4 linked regions of the Macaca mulatta genome follow. The protein of the gene in region 1 interacts with the protein of each later gene in a biochemical or structural test. Links are inferred from orthologs where the notes say so. Each region holds a gene or a part of one and is shown in the gene's direction. Other genes may lie near its edges.

Evidence for each region.
Region 2: the proteins of DAB1 (region 1) and VLDLR form a complex in vitro, tested with the Homo sapiens proteins (2 studies listed by BioGRID). The link is inferred for Macaca mulatta from reciprocal best matches to the Homo sapiens genes DAB1 and VLDLR.
Region 3: the proteins of DAB1 (region 1) and LRP8 form a complex in vitro, tested with the Homo sapiens proteins (2 studies listed by BioGRID). The link is inferred for Macaca mulatta from reciprocal best matches to the Homo sapiens genes DAB1 and LRP8.
Region 4: the proteins of DAB1 (region 1) and LRP2 form a complex in vitro, tested with the Homo sapiens proteins (2 studies listed by BioGRID). The link is inferred for Macaca mulatta from reciprocal best matches to the Homo sapiens genes DAB1 and LRP2.

Annotation. Positions count from the first base shown.
Region 1 is NC_133406.1:183,204,629-183,208,911, forward strand, and holds the start of DAB1 (disabled homolog 1), read left to right. Parts: upstream 1-1,433; 5' UTR 1,434-1,624; intron 1,625-1,998; exon of another isoform or gene 1,999-2,530; intron 2,531-4,283. UniProt on the Homo sapiens protein: Signaling adapter of the reelin-mediated signaling pathway, which regulates the migration and differentiation of postmitotic neurons during brain development.
Region 2 is NC_133420.1:96,833,022-96,837,074, reverse strand, and holds the start of VLDLR (very low-density lipoprotein receptor), read left to right. Parts: upstream 1-1,251; 5' UTR 1,252-1,444; coding exon 1,445-1,751; exon of another isoform or gene 1,752-1,997; coding exon of another isoform or gene 1,998-2,468; exon of another isoform or gene 2,469-3,422; intron 3,423-4,053. Other genes in the region: uncharacterized protein LOC106993776, read right to left, coding at 1,998-2,468. UniProt on the Homo sapiens protein: Multifunctional cell surface receptor that binds VLDL and transports it into cells by endocytosis and therefore plays an important role in energy metabolism.
Region 3 is NC_133406.1:187,326,772-187,330,333, forward strand, and holds part of LRP8 (low-density lipoprotein receptor-related protein 8), read left to right. Parts: intron 1-1,274; coding exon 1,275-1,403; intron 1,404-3,562. UniProt on the Homo sapiens protein: Cell surface receptor for Reelin (RELN) and apolipoprotein E (apoE)-containing ligands. LRP8 participates in transmitting the extracellular Reelin signal to intracellular signaling processes, by binding to DAB1 on its cytoplasmic tail.
Region 4 is NC_133417.1:74,171,769-74,175,330, reverse strand, and holds part of LRP2 (low-density lipoprotein receptor-related protein 2), read left to right. Parts: intron 1-506; coding exon 507-718; intron 719-1,520; coding exon 1,521-1,705; intron 1,706-3,050; coding exon 3,051-3,279; intron 3,280-3,562. UniProt on the Homo sapiens protein: Multiligand endocytic receptor. Acts together with CUBN to mediate endocytosis of high-density lipoproteins. Mediates receptor-mediated uptake of polybasic drugs such as aprotinin, aminoglycosides and polymyxin B.

The DNA of each region.
Region 1 (4,283 bases):
AGGGAGGGTCTCTTGATGACTCTGTATGTACCAGCCCTGGACCTACTGGCTCCACAAGGAGTGCATTAGGCTAAATATTTTTAGCTCATTGACTCTGGAGGTAACAACCCTAAAAGCTTCATTAAATTTCCGTGGGTGAGTGTCTGAAGCTAAGAGGTAAAAAAAAAAAAAAAAAAAACAAAAAAACAAAAAACAAAAAAAAAAAAACCCAAAACAGAAAAGCACAAATCCATCGCATTAGCTTTGTTATTACACAGCTGGAAAACAGAAGTGTAGCCCCCAAAAGAGTAAGGGTAAACTTTTTAAGGAAGGGTTGCTTGCCTCTTGCTTTCCTTTTCTGCACCTGGGTCCAGCAGGGTGGTTTGTGTGCAGTGCGAATCTACACATTATCGACTTGATTTGATTCTCCAGGCTCCTCTCTCCTCCTGCGTTCAGGCCTCTGGAGACAGGTATGCCACACAACAGGGATTCCTGGAATTGAATCCAGTCTCAGGGTGGAAGAATGTTCAGAAGGACCCAATCTTTTCTGCGACTTGGTGTTTCTAGGATCTTTGTAAGCTAGGACCCTAAGCAAGGAGCAACCGACTGCGTACTCGCTGGAGCCGTCTCCCGCACAGCTTCGGATCAGAGGATTGTTTACTCCCAGTCATTCTAAGAGCCGAGTAAGGGAGTTGGGGGGAGTAAGCCGGAGTTAACCGCGGTCTGCATACTCTCAGGGGCACGGGTCTTTCCTAGGACGGAAACGTGACACATGCTAGCCTTTTCCCTCCCAACTTGCCCAACTTTGCCTGGGAAGCCTCAGTCAAAACAGGAGCCACCGAGCCTGCGCTGGCGGCTGGGAGCGAGCGCCCCCTCCTGCCAAGGGGCGTGGGGGCAACATGCCCTCACAGAGACTCCCCTCGTGGTTTCGCCCATAATGGCACTCCGTATATTTGGGTATGCGTATGTTTTCGAGGCTTGGATAAAAGGGTAGACCCTAGAGAAAAATGAGAGGGGCCAGGCGGAGCTGCGGCCAGTGGTGGTGATGGGGGAGAAAACACTGGCTACTTTGTGACAACCCCCTCCCTTACCCTCTTCACGCTGGCGAGGCTGGGGCGGGGACCCCTCGCTCTCGGCTTGTCTCTCCCGCTTCCACGCCAGGATGGAGAGAGCGCGCAGGGGCTCCAGAGGCGCGACTGCAAGCCGCGGCGCCCCCGCTCGCTCGCTCGCTCGTTCTTCCACCTCCTCGTCGCCACCGCGGCTCGGCTAAGCTCTCGGAGCGCGCTCAGGCTGCGCAGAGAGCGCCCCGGAGGGAGCTGGAGCCGCGAGGCCGGGGCGAGGAGCGCACTACCAGGCGGCGGCGGCGGCCGGGGAGCTAGTAGGTGAGCGGCGCCGCTGGGCGCCGGGCGGGTGCGGGGGCCGGCGGGGCGGGGGCCGCGGGAGGAGGCGGGTCCGCGCGGGTGGCGGTCTCCTCCCCCTACTCTGACGCGGGGCCCGTGGCTCCCGGGGAGGATGGACCCAGCTCGGCGCTCGCCCGGGCTTCCCCGGGCTGTAGAGCGCGCCTGAGTGCCGCCGCCCGCCGGGCATGGGTAGCCGCTTCCTGGGCGGCTGCGGCAGCGGAGGAGGATGCTCTGGGCTAGGCGAGGTGAGGCGCGGCGGGGGCGCGCGGCAACCCTTGAGTTCAGCGCGTCAGGTGCCCCGCGACGACGCGGCGCCGGGGAGCCAGCTTCGCTGGGGCCCCCGGCGCGGAGGAGGGCTCCTGGGACGCGCCACTCAGCAGTTTGGCTAGGGGTGGTGCGAGGATGGCGACTGCAGCAGTTTTTCGCCTTCTCCCTCCACTTGCTGGGAGGAAAGGGGTGACTTCTCTTTCTCTCTCCTGCCACCCACCCCTGCGCCCCTGTCTCCCTACTTCTGACCACGCGCGATCCTGTCTCCAGACTTGTCCACCCTTGACACGCGTCTCTCTCCAAGACCCCCTGCGCCCTCTTTCCTCCTGCGGTCTTGGCTCTGTCGGTCCTCGAGCCTGCCTTCTCCCGCTGTCCTGTGCTCCCGAAACTCCCTCCCTGCTTCTCTGGTGGCCAGACCCTCTTCCTCACTCGGCCGAACCCCGTTCTCACTTCCCTACTCCTCGGTAGCTAGGTTCGGCTTCGACCTCTCGAAAAACCGACTCTATCCCAGTAATCCCAGCCCTTTCGCGGGCACCGTGAGAACTGGATCCCGCGTTCCTCGGACCCCTGCCTTTCTTCGGATCTTCTGTGGACTCTGTTCTTTGCCGCTCGACCCCCTCCATCCACTCCCCAGCACCCCCCTGCCCACACGCCCAGTTAGTCCCCTCCCCAGCCCGCCTCTCTTCCTTCTCTCTGCTCCAGACGCTCTGACTTGGATGCAGAGAGCTCAGTTTTTTTTTTTTTCCTACCAGGGAAACTTTAAATCTCTGTGGTTCGGCTCGTAAGGCAGGCACACAAGAGGGTGTCAACCGCCGAGAGAACCCAGAGGCAGGGAGTCCGAGATGGGGGGAGGTCGTGTCGCGGCGTCTGAAAGGGGCCACTGGGTGAGTGTACAAAGTAAATTTCAAAACCAGGGTGACTGCTGCAGTCAGGACTCTGCCTCCGCTGGCTGCGTCCCGGGGAGTATTATTGTGACCCCTGGTGGGAGGGCGCATCTTTTCTCTGCACTTTTTAAGGCGCTTTTTTTCTCTGTTTTTGTTTTTTGGTGGTGCTGGTGGGCCTCATGGGGGCCAGTGGGCACAAGGGAACGCTGCCTGGAGAGGCGGACGCCACTTGGCTGCTCCCAGACCTGCCAGACTGTGTACGTTTCACTCCGTGTGAACTACCCCCAACCCCCAACTGCATCGCACAAGTCCTCATTGTTGGGGGTCTGCTGGGGCACTTCCGCTTAGGCTGGGAGAGTCTGAAGGAATGGCGTGGGGGTGGGGAGGCCGGGGGCGTTTGGCGACCGCTCGGCTCTCGGCGGCGGGCGGAGTGGAGAGCGCCGCGGCGCGGGCTTCTGTGCGCTCCGGTGTGTGTGTGTCGCGAGGCTGGGGTGCGCGCCCGCGTGGGTCGGTGTCTGCGTGTGCGTTTGGATGTCGGCGCACGCCTATGTTTAACTCCGTTAGAAAGAGGGGCGAGTGTAGAGCTTGCGGTAGCGAGAGCGCCTTTCTCCGCCTGGGAGCTGGACGGGGGCGAGCCCGCCTGCGAGCTGGATGCTCCAGTGCAGCTCCTAGCCAGCCAACAGGGACCGGGGGTGAGAATCCGCGCCGTCGTTTCCACCTCCTTCCTGCTCCCCTCCTGCTGGCCAGTTAAATACACTTTCAGTGTTGATAGTTTTGAATAAAGGCCGTGTGGAGATTCCACTACACTTTACAACACTTAACGTTTTCAAGTAATCATATAAATTAAAGGTGGCTTACGTTTTAGAACCCCCTAATTATCCAGTTCACGTTGGTACATTTATGTGCCAATTATAGGTCTTTGGGAAATCCATAAAATTATAAACCATCCCCACCCCTTGAATTAGCACCCATTGTTTTTGTGATCTCTGTGATGAGTGATTCTGGATGGCACCGGAACTGCGCAGGCACGAAGATAGATGGGGGTTCGGAGATGTCAGAAGGAGTAGGGCCCCCCGCCACCCCCGTCTCTTTCACTCCCTATCCTGACAAGGCTTGGTGACAATTCTGGGAACCTAAAGTGATCAAATATTTTCTTGATTTCCTATTGAGAAGGGCGACCTAATCAAAGCTGTATAAAAGTCAACTTCTAAGCAATCAGAAATTGTCTGCTGATGTCCTTGATTGAAACCCCAGCATTCAAATGGAGTATTGAAGAACTCGCAGAAAGGTCTTTTGAAGCGCTATTGTTCTTTTCCGTACACAGAGTCTCTCTTAAAGGTTTAGGAAGTTCAAAATGCAGTGGTTTGAAAGGACTGACTTTGTAACTATTTGGCAACGCTGGGAGGATCCGCAGGGATGAGAAAAGAGGCCGAGGTGGGAAGTGCAAATATGTTGTGACCATCTTCTTGGGAACGGTGCTGCTATCAAGTAGGAATTCGGTTCTACCCATCGAGTTGGCAATTAAGTCTCTTCTAAAGCAGATTTAGAAGATGATTTTTAGTAGTTTTTATTTTTTAGTGGTTTGCTTAAGGTCTGAATAGGCATATCTGAAACGTTTAATCATGTTCATTGTAGTCAACGATAAAATCTGAATAAAAATTACTTATTGTTGATGAAGCTCATCTCACAAGCTGTTTCACAGTATGTTTCATTTGCAAGACACACCATTGTGTGAGGCTGCTGGGAAGAGATT
Region 2 (4,053 bases), on another chromosome or scaffold:
TCAAGATAAAAACAACTTTTTAAAAATACCTAAAAACCTTTTATTTAAGAAAGTGAAATCGCTCAATGTGCCCTCCCACTCTGGTTAGATGCTTAGCAGACCACAGCAGACAATGCACCTCAACCAGGGCTAAGTGTGCAAGAAAACTGAAGTACACAAAAAGCAAATTATAGACTCAGGTACTGTCAGGCACAAAAGAAGAATCAGTCCTTTCTAGGAGTCTTGCCTTTGCTTCCTTTATTCTTTCCTCGATTCTTGTAATTGAATGTTACAAAGTATATCAAGAGGAATAAACGTATGGGTCCCGTCTCTTCCAAACAAGAAAAGGTTAAGCTTTTAATTACAGGCCCTCAAACTATCATTTTGTGCAATTAGCAATTAACTATAATCGTTGATGAGCAAACGCAAAGCTGCGCTAGCAATTTCCCTTCTCCTTATCCCAGGCTGGGTTATTTTAGTCTTGTTCTATTACAGAGGAGCAGTCACAACCGCGCGCACTCTTTCTTTCAAACATACACACTCTCTCACTTAAAGACACATTTAGTTTTTAGGAAAATGGCATCTCAGCGTGCGATTGAGACCGACATCCCAAACCCCACATTTGAGCGCCCCAAACGTTTGGAGCCCCTCAGCTTCATCACTTTCTGAGTGGAGAGAGGAGGCCCGAAGAAGATGCTACCTACCATCCTCTCTCAGGGGCGCAGGAGAGGGTGGTAGAGAGATGATTGTTGCCCCTGGAAACTGCAAGTACCCCCCAGGTGCACGCCCCGTTAGTGGGGAGGCAGTGGCAATAGCAACGATAGTTGCATCAGCGCTAACTGCTGCTGCTGCTGCATGTTCTGCTGGCGGCTGCCGGGAGGGTACAGTAATGACTGTAGAGAGCGCACAGCTGCTGCGGCGGCAGGTTCCCTGGATCAGGAAATTAGGACAGGCACCGGGGATTGGAGACGAGGGCGGTGCGCGAGCCAACCAGCGGCCGCCCCGGGCCCCCGTGAGCTCCAGGCGGCCTCGCGGAGCAGCCGGGCCCCTAAAGCAGCCCGGGTGGCGACGGCGGCGGCGGCGGCCACAGCCACGACCACGGTCACTCATGCACGCACGCTCACACTCGCACACTCCCGGCGCGGGCACCCAGCTGCCCGGCGCGTGTAAGAGGAGCGCGTCGAGGGAAAGGAGGACTGAAGCCGCCGCGCTCCCGCCCGCCCGCCGCGCCTCCCGTTGACCACTCCCCCTCCTGCCCCCTCCCCGCTCCTCACCCCGAGCTCCAGCCGCCGCCGGTGTGGGTGCTCCGCTACCGGCTCCTCTCTGTTCTGTCCTCTCTTCTGCTCTTGGCTCCCCACCCCCTCTCCCTTCCTTCCCCTCCCCTTCCCTCCCCTCCTCTGCAGCGCCTGCATTATTTTCTGCCCGCAGGCTCGGCTTGCACTGCTGCTGCAGCCCAGGGAGGTGGATGGGTGGGTGGGTTGGCTGGTGGGGAGGAGATTGTGCAAGTTGTAGGGGAGGGGGTGCCCTCTTGTTCCCCGCTCCCTTCCCCCCCAACTCCTTCCCCCTCCTTCTCCCCCTTTCCCCTCCCCGCCCCCACCTTCTTCCTCCTTTCGGAAGGGCTGGTAACTTGTTGTGCGGAGCGAACGGCGGCGGCGGCGGCGGCGGCGGCGGCACCATCCAGGCGGGCACCATGGGCACGTCCGCGCGCTGGGCGCTCTGGCTGCTGCTCGCGCTGTGCTGGGCGCCCTGGGAGAGCGGCGCCACCGGAACCGGTGAGTGAGGACGCGCCCCTCCGCCGGCGGCCGGGACCCAGCCGGGGCACCGGGAGACCCCGAGGCGCAGGTCTCCGTTTGCCCACCGCCTCCTAGGAGGCGCCTCTCGGCTCTCTCTTGCCTTCTCTCCCTCCCCTCAGTGGTGGCGCCTCTGAGCTGTCAGCGCCGCGGCTAAAGGGAGCTGGGCTTGGGGAACAGTGGGGTTTGGGGTGTCCTGACGCCTCGCCTGAACTAGTCTTCGATCCCTCACACCGCCTCCCCCAAAGCCGCTGCTTTGCCTCGTTTCTCGCCCCCTTGACAGGGGCTGAGGTATGTGGGCTTCTGAGCATTGAACAATGGTTCTGCCTCCTCTGCCAGGCGGAGTGTTAGGAAGGAGGTAGAGGGCCGAGACGTGCGCGGCAGCCCGGGGCGCGCGCCTCGAACCTCAGGGAGTGTGGGAGCGGACGGTGGGCGAAGGTGAGGGCCTCCGGGGACGCGGGGCGCCAGGTGCGGGCCGGGGCTCGGAGTCTTCCGGCGGCCGTGAGCGGGCGCACGTTCGGTGGGCGGCAGCCGGGAGGCTCCGCGGAGCCGCGGGCAGTGCGCAGTCTGCGCACCCAGACTGCGTCTCCCCCGGCGCGGGGCCGCCTCTCCGGCGTGCGGGGTAGGGGAGGAGCGGGCTTTACGCAGGACTGTCCTCTGGGTGCTTCTCCCCTCCCTTTTCCACGCCTCGGGCGGCATTTGGAAACCTCTCGGGTCTCTCGTGTAGCTGAATGGGGAGGGGGAATGGAACGAAGACTTAATCAGGTTAGTTTGCTGATCCTCCTTCCCGTTGACGTTTCCTCGAGAGGAATTGAGTCCTAGGCTAGTGACTGTAATTAGCCTTCATTCTAAACAATAAATCAAAGGAACAGCGCGAGAGCGAGTGTGTGGCCCTGTCTTGTTGAGAAGGGCGGTGTGACTACTGTCGGGTCCCTAGAGTCTGCCGCAGGGGCTTGGGGGCCCTGCCTGGTCTTCAGCCACGTTCCCACTTGGGGCCTCATAACTTTCCTGGACAAGCGACAGGAAGCCCTTCTAAGAGGACTCAGTCAGAATCCTAGCGCGTCCCAGAAGTGATCTTCAGATGTGACGCCAAGGGGCTTGTTTGCCAGCTGCGGGGAATTGGGACTGAAAGCCGCCCCAGCCCGAAACACCCATTCCAGAGTCCCTAGCTCCAGTAGCCAGGTGGCTTAAGGGGCCCTGCCTGCCTGCAGTCACGTGCTCCTGAAGTGAGAGCGAACTTTAAAGTTTGTGGTCAAGGAGCCTCTCGGGCAATGCCTGGGGTTTTTACGTCTCCGAATGCCCCTGCCCTTTAGTTGCCACTGTCCGGAGGGTGTGAACTGGGATTGGCCTTTCTGCCCTCTGCGATTGGCTGGCAGTGCGATCACGTTTAGGTTGATCACATGGTTCCGCGGACTCCTAAGCGAGCAGCACGGGAAGTGTTATTTTCAATGGAAAGTAGGAGACTCCACAAGCTCCTCAAATGCCTTCCCCTGCCTGGACTCTTTGAAGAGGACGAATGTGTAGTGAACATGGAATCTGATGTGTAACAAGCCTGAGAGCCTAGAAAAGCTCTGCTTACAAGAGTTTTCAAACGCTAGCATTAATCATTAATGGATGAGTAATACTAACTTATTAAACGATTTCTCAGTATAGTGCCATGACTTGTATTATGCCTTTTGAAACATTTCAAAACACTAAGGTATACCAGGAGGGACAATTATCCAGGAAGGTGAGAGAAAACTTTCATTTTTGCTGCATGTCCCTTCCACTAGAGGTTAACTTTACCTTATAGAATGTTAGGAGTGCACCTAAACTGACTTGAGTTAGTCAAAGCCAGATATTCACCTTGTATTAGGCAGGTGAGGATCCTCTTTGTCACATGTGAAATATTTGACATGCCATGAACAATGGAAAAAACAAATTCTTCAAAGGAAAGGAGGCAGATTCTTTCAGAACTGGAGGAAATTTGGGCTGAGGCAGGTATTGACTCTAAACCAATCCCAACTGGCATCTGTCTTAAGTTCAAAGTCCCAGGGTATGTGGGCTCACTTCCTACCCTGGAGCTTCTACGCTCGCCCTGTCTCTCCACTGGCACATGGTGCTGTTCCAGGTACTCCTGGACAAGGCAGGTGAGCACCGAGACTCTGGCAAGGAACTTAAAGCTATTGAGAAGTTGGTATATCTGATTGCACAATTGCTGGGGGTTCTAGGACATTTTCCTCCAGCCTGAGTAGTCAGGATTAAGATCTGTGGTATGATATATTCTTGAAGGTCAAAGTCTAAA
Region 3 (3,562 bases), about 4.1 Mb from region 1:
TTCAGTCAATCCTAACGCTGTTCTTTACCAGCTCTGTGACCAGAACTTAGTGCTTACCACCATGTTTGTCACACAGCAGTGCTCAAATACTCCATGAATAAGCAAAATTCAGAGTCATCTGTTATGTGTGGATAATCATAATAGGTAACATTTAGTAAGCACTGGGCTGGGTATTCTTCTAGGTGCTTGCTTTACAGACATTAACTTAGTCATCATAACAATCCTATGAGGGATAGTATTATCCCCACTTTATTGGCACAGAGATAAGGATTGTTGGCCAAGGTCACATAGTCAGTGAGTGAGTGAACTAGGATTTGAACCCAGGCAGCCAGATTCCAGAGCCCATGTTCTCCACCTCCATGTTGGAGGCCAGCACATAATCCTCTCACCCTGCTGGCTTATTGTGAAAATTAAATGGAAGCGTCTAGCACCATGCCTGGCACATCCTAGAGACCACAGAAATCGGGCCTCCTGCACACTCTGGAAGGCTGTAGGGAGCCAACCACGGAGGTCTGAGATGCATCTGCCTTGGCTGAGCCTGTCACATGGGTCCGGCAGAAACTCATGATAAGAGCTGTCCCCAGCCTTGAATAGGGTTCTCATTCTTTCTTCCAAATTGAGATTCAACCCTGGGGCTTCAGGCCCCTGATTGAGTCAGCCTCTGATTGCGGCTGCAGTAATTATAGCTATGCAGTCCCGCTGGGCCCTGCTATGCAGCAGCTGTTCTCAGCAGCAGGCTCAGCACCATCACTCGGGGAGGGGGCTTAGAGGCGGGCCGATTGGAGCCGTTGGGGCCTTGGTGAACCCTCTAAATTTACAGGTTCCAATCATGGAGTCACTGATCTGGAAGGCAAACTGAGGCCCAGCTGGGACATATCTCACCTAAGAGCACACAGCTGGGAAATGACAGAGACGAGTGCAGGGCATGGTGGCTCCATGTTGCCGGAACTTAAAGTGGAGGTTTGGAGGGATGGGAGGTGTGGCCAGGAGAGGCAGGCAGGAGTCAATGGATTAAAGAGAAACTTGAGGGCCAGGGACCAGGGGGCCATGAAAGATGTTCTGTAGAGAAGTGGTGGGGTCAGATTTAGGATTTGGAAACTCCTGGGACAGACAGAGGCTTCTTCTCAGCTGATGAAACTGAGACATGGGCCAGGAGAGCCCTGATGGACTCCTAGGGCCTTGGACCAGGTGGCTGGAACAGGGTGGTAGGACTGGTTGGCACCATGCCCTGTGTCCCCCTTGGCTAAGCTATGCATGGACGTCTGTCTCCACAGCCAAGCAGGTGTGTCCTGCAGAGAAGCTGAGCTGTGGACCCACCAGCCACAAGTGTGTACCTGCCTCATGGCGCTGCGACGGGGAGAAGGACTGCGAGGGTGGAGCGGATGAGGCCGGCTGTGTTACCTGTGAGTCTGGGGTCAGATCCCCAGGGTCTGCCAAGCATGGTCAGGCAGCCTCAGGGAGTGACAGCCACTTCTGGGGAGGGGCCCAGTTCCCCGTGGGGCTTGGTAGGTGGAGAGGAAAGGATAATGATCAGGACATTAGTAATGGCTAGACACTATGGAGACACTGTCTTCTTTCATCTTCACAAGCACCTCATGAGCAGCCATTATCATCCCCATTTTATAGGTGAGGAAACTGAGGCTCAGACAAGGGAGGAAAAGTACCCAGGGCTGAGTGATGAAACCAAGATTCAGATTCAGGACTGGACAGCAAAGCCCATGAGCTTTTTTGCCATGTCTGACATCTGCTCATCCATCCCACAAGTCTGCCAATCTTCGAGCAAGGGCAGGGGGACCAGGGAGGGTACTGTATGGAGAAATGGTGGTGGCCTGAGCCAGAGTGCCAGCAGTGCTGGGGGGAGGGGGACGGATTCCTGAGGTGTCAAGGACGACTGTTGCTGAAATATCAGATTTGAGCACAAACGTCACAGGGCAGAGAAGATATTCTCAGCAGCCTCGGCAGGGACAGATGGAAGCGGCCACTGGGACAGTTCCACATCACTGAGCTTCAAACACAGGATTATCTCCTTCCCAGGGAGCAGGCCAGCAGGGCCTGGGCCAGTGAGGAGCATGGCCAGGCCTTACTTTTTCAATTCGAGGGGCACCTACTGTGTGCCAGGCCTGAAGCCAGGCTCTGAAAGGGACAGTGAGGTGAATCCTACACAGTCGTCCCTCTGGGAACACATGATTAATGGGGGAGACAGACTGGCTGTCGCTACTGGGCTGTGCGGCTGGGCTGAGATATGGGCGGTCACCCTGGAGGGCTTGCCAGGCACTTGCCCGTCACTGCTGCCTAGTCCCCTCTGCCAGCCTCTATATTTGCATCCTATCCATCTTTCCTGGCCCAGGGAAAATGCCATCTCCTCCAGAGGTGTCTGAGTAGTCGCACTTTAAGATTCTAAGTCTGGAATTTGATGTGTCTGAAGCAGGAAGCATCTGGGTATAGAGGGAGATCCTGGCTGGGAACAGTAGTTTCAAAGTCCCAGTGATGGCACTGGCTCACTTCCTCAGCTGTGATAATTTTGCTGGGACTCACTGGCCAATGAGAATCCTCTTTCCTCTTTACCAACCCCCATAATCAGATGATTCCTCCAATATGAAGGCCGCTACTGCAAGGGATGGGAGCTTCTCCAACTAGGGCATGTTGGAATAGGAACATTCCCCATTAATTATGGGAGACAGGGGTGTCAGGTCTTACTGGGCTTCTGTGCTACAGCTCCCACTCTCCTAGGCAGAGGAGAAAGAGTCCTCCCACCCCTCATCTCTCTGAGCTTCTTCCATTTGTGAATGCTAGGAGTAGGGTCTCTGGGGCTATGTAGGCCTGAGAATATGGATCTTAAAGTTACTGTTGGCTCCAAAACCTCAGAGAAAACTCAGTATGAAGGAGCACTTCCTTGCCATCAAAATCTTCAAGTAAAATTTAAAAATAGGGCTGGGCGTGGTGGCTCATGCCTGTAATCCCAGCACTTCGGGAGGCCGAGGCAGGTGGATCATGAGGTCAGGAGATTGAGACTATCCTGGCTAACAGGGTGAAACTCCACCTCTACTAAAAATACAGAAAAAGAATTTAGCTGAGCATGGTGGCACGTGCCTGTAGTAACAGCTACTCGGGAGGCTGAGGCAGGAGAATCACTTGAACCCAGGAGGCAGGGTGGCAGTAGCTGAGAGCATACCACTGCACTCCAGCCTAGGTGACAGAGCGAGACTCCGTCTCAAAAAAGAAAATTTAAAAAAAAAAAAGCACTTCCCATTGGAACTCCCAGAAAGCAGTGAGTCCGCCCTCCCTGCACATGCACAAGCTGGGTGGGGACAGGCAGGAAGGGAGCTCATCTAGGTGTCAGTGTAATCTTGAGGGGCAGTGGCACTGGCAGCATGTGCTTTTTCCGCTAATGCCGCAGTGTCTCAAAAGTCTCAGAGGGGAAAAAAAAACGCAACTGTCAGACACTTGGTAGAGCTGTCAGAAACGCATGACACGAGCTACCTACCTGGTGAAACTGAAGACATCACTCTTTATCTTCAATAACAATGAAAATTCACATTTTTCCATCAGAAAATGAAAACAC
Region 4 (3,562 bases), on another chromosome or scaffold:
GAAATGTCTCTGGCTGGAGAGTCTGTGCCAAGCTAAAACTTGGCATGCTTTATTACTGAAAAGAAAAAGAAGAGACGGGGTGTTGGGAGAATTAGAACTCTGCCATAGTTGAGAGCCTCAGAAAACAGAAATATTTAAGACATGATTCCTGCTGTCCAGAAGCCTACAATCTATTAAATAGTAAGGAAGATAAACAAAGTACAAAAATAAATACAGTAAAAGGAAGAATGTAAGCATAGTCTCCTTTAGACTAGTATTTAGAAACATTTAAATATAACCCAGGAAATAGTCTATTTTAAGGACTCATGAAAACCAGCTAACTATTAAGGTTAAGAATGAAGTGATTAAAATCATTCTTACGGGGCTTCCTCCCCTCCCCACCAACTTACTATAGTTTGGAATTACACCTTCTTTTTGTTACCAAAAGTATTGAATCAAATGTTTTAAAGAGTTGTTTTGTGTTTTCTCCCAGATCATTGAAATTTTTGCATTTTTTTCTTGAACAGCATCTGAGAATCTGCTGTTACTTGTGGCAAGTCAGAACAAAATTATTGCCGACAGTGTCACCTCCCAGGTCCACAATATCTATTCATTGGTCGAGAATGGTTCTTACATTGTAGCTGTTGATTTTGATTCAATTAGTGGTCGTATCTTTTGGTCTGATGCAACTCAGGGTAAAACCTGGAGTGCGTTTCAAAATGGAACGGACAGAAGAGTAGTAAGTACATTTCTGTTGACCTTTGGCCTGGCTAGTTCCCCTGTCTTGGGTCTGTTTGCTGTTATTCACCAGTGAGAGAAGGCCCTACCTCATCCGGGTAGCTCTCATGGTACCTTCTGGGCCACATAACACCTAAGAGACTTGCATGTTCATAACTATGAATTTATGGCTGTTTTCAATAGGAGGGTGGCCTCTGAAGGCAGATGTATGATTCTGAATTCCAGGTCAGTGATGCAGAGACCTCACAATGTCTTTAAGTTTCCTTTTGCAGTCTTTTCTTGTGGATGAGAGCAGAGGAAAATGCAGGAAAGTTAAGGGGTTGCTTTTGTTAACTTTAATTTAGTGATATTTCTCAATCCATCTCCCAGAATTTCAGTTTCTTGGCTCCTGATAGTTACATTTCCTCTGCCTCTTACAACTTTATTTTGTAATTATTGGTGCTTAATTAACAGAGATATTATTCTTTGCATGCAAACACTATAACGTTTCGTAATGTTGCCAACTAAGCAGATGGATAGAGCTTTTGCTTAGTTGCAAAAACTTTTGAAACCAAAACGAAGCTATGCACTAACCCAACAATGAAGTTATCTTAGAATATTCAGTGGGACAAAATCTTGTATACTTTTCTCGGAAAACCCTACTGTTGATTTGGTGGTTAGCTACATGAGAGGACAAAATTTTCTAATCCTGACAAGTAATTATAGGACAAGTTAGATGTTTTAATCTAGATTTTTATATAATATCCATGTTTGCATTCATTTATATGCTCTAGAAATCAGTCTTTATTCACTTTTGTCTTTAGGTATTTGACAGTAGCATCATCTTGACTGAAACTATTGCAATAGATTGGGTAGGTCGTAATCTTTACTGGACAGACTATGCTCTGGAAACAATTGAAGTCTCCAAAATTGATGGGAGCCACAGGACTGTGCTGATTAGTAAAAACCTAACAAATCCAAGAGGACTAGCATTAGATCCCAGAATGAAGTAAGAATTTTTTTTTTTAATTATGTTGCCTTGACATGGTTATGATGAGGGAAAAACAACAATAACATGATGTAGCTGATATGCATGTTGCTGATCTGCAAAATTTAAAATGATCCCTTGTTTAAACATGGTAGGTGTCCAACTGGGTATTGCTGTCTCCTTCATCTGAATTATCCTCTTCATAAAGTATATAGGAGCAATTGATTGTTTACTTTTTTTTTAGATCACATTGATTTATTAGCTTGGCAATACAGTTTTCAAAATGTCATATAATTAAAAATTAAGTTTCTGGCCAGACGTCGTGGCTCACACCTGTAATCCCAGCACTTTGGGAGGCTGAGGCTGGCGGATCACTAGGTCAGGAGATCGAGATCATCCTGGCAAACATGGTGAAACCCCGTCTCTACTAAAAATACAAAGAGAATTAGCCAGGCATAGTGGTGGGCGCCTATAGTCCCAGCTACTCGGGAGGCTGAGGCAGGAGAATGGCATGAACCTGGGGGAGCGGAGCTTGCAGTGAGCGGACATCATGCCACTGCACTCCAGCCTGGGTGACAAAACAAGACTCTGTCTCAAAAAAAAAAAAAAAAAAAATTAAGTTTCTAATTACTGCATGCAGTAATAGTCCATAGAGGGGCCAGTTTGATGTAACTTTGATAACTCATGATTATACAGCAAAAAAGCTGGATTTTTCTGCTTCAGTTTTATGTAGTTTATGAGAGCTCCCTTTTAAGTCATATAAGGAAGGCAGTTTTTGCCTACTGGTCCTAAAGGGAAGGTAGACAAATTCTCCCATGTGTTTGGAAATCTTTGAGGGCTTCTCTCCCTGAATTTACTTATATTTGATAACTTAGATTCTTTGCTGCAGGGCGGCAAATTAGGCAAGTTATGTTCAATGTGATGTTGACTTCCTAGATATTGTAAAGTATTACACACCAGTGAAATTTATGATGAATCCATGATGAAGAATAAATTGATTTCCTTATCTAAAAACATGACAGGGTAGACAAACAAGGACAGATGGATTTTTCTAGATCAACTATTTGTGGATTATAAACAAACATGAATTGGCATTGAGACGTTTCAATGTCATAATGTACTACATTATGACATTATGTATTACATGTTTTATGAAATATTATAAAAATACCCAGATGGGTTGTGATTGTGTTATGACAGTTTTACTTTGTGATGCTTAGAGGAAATAAACTCTGTGCACATATTCTGAACCACAGATTATTTATTTTAAGCAGGGCATAAACAGGATGTTGTATTATTTAAAATGACAGTTATTTTAAATATTTAAATACATCCCCTCCAATTGGTAACTCGTTTCCTTTCCCAGTGAGCATCTATTGTTCTGGTCTGACTGGGGCCACCACCCTCGCATCGAGCGGGCTAGCATGGACGGCAGCATGCGCACTGTCATTGTCCAGGACAAGATCTTCTGGCCCTGCGGCTTAACTATTGACTACCCCAACAGACTGCTCTACTTCATGGACTCCTATCTTGATTACATAGACTTTTGTGATTATAATGGACACCATCGGAGACAGGTGATAGCCAGTGATTTGGTAAGTTGGTGGTGAGGAAAACCAAATTAAAACTACAGTTGTGGATAGGTAGAAATCACACGAGTATCAGAAAAGCTAAAAAATTGATTTTTGTGTCATAGACAATATCAGGTCAATCCAGGAAATACCAGCAACAGTGAGACGCAGTCTATCCCATATGAATAACAGGAAAATGAATATTTTCATTCCAGTTCATGGTCAGATTGTGCCTTGTCCAGGGAGGATTTTTATAGCTCATGTGATTTAGTTGAGCTGTAGATGTGAATCTGTTGCTTCTATAGCT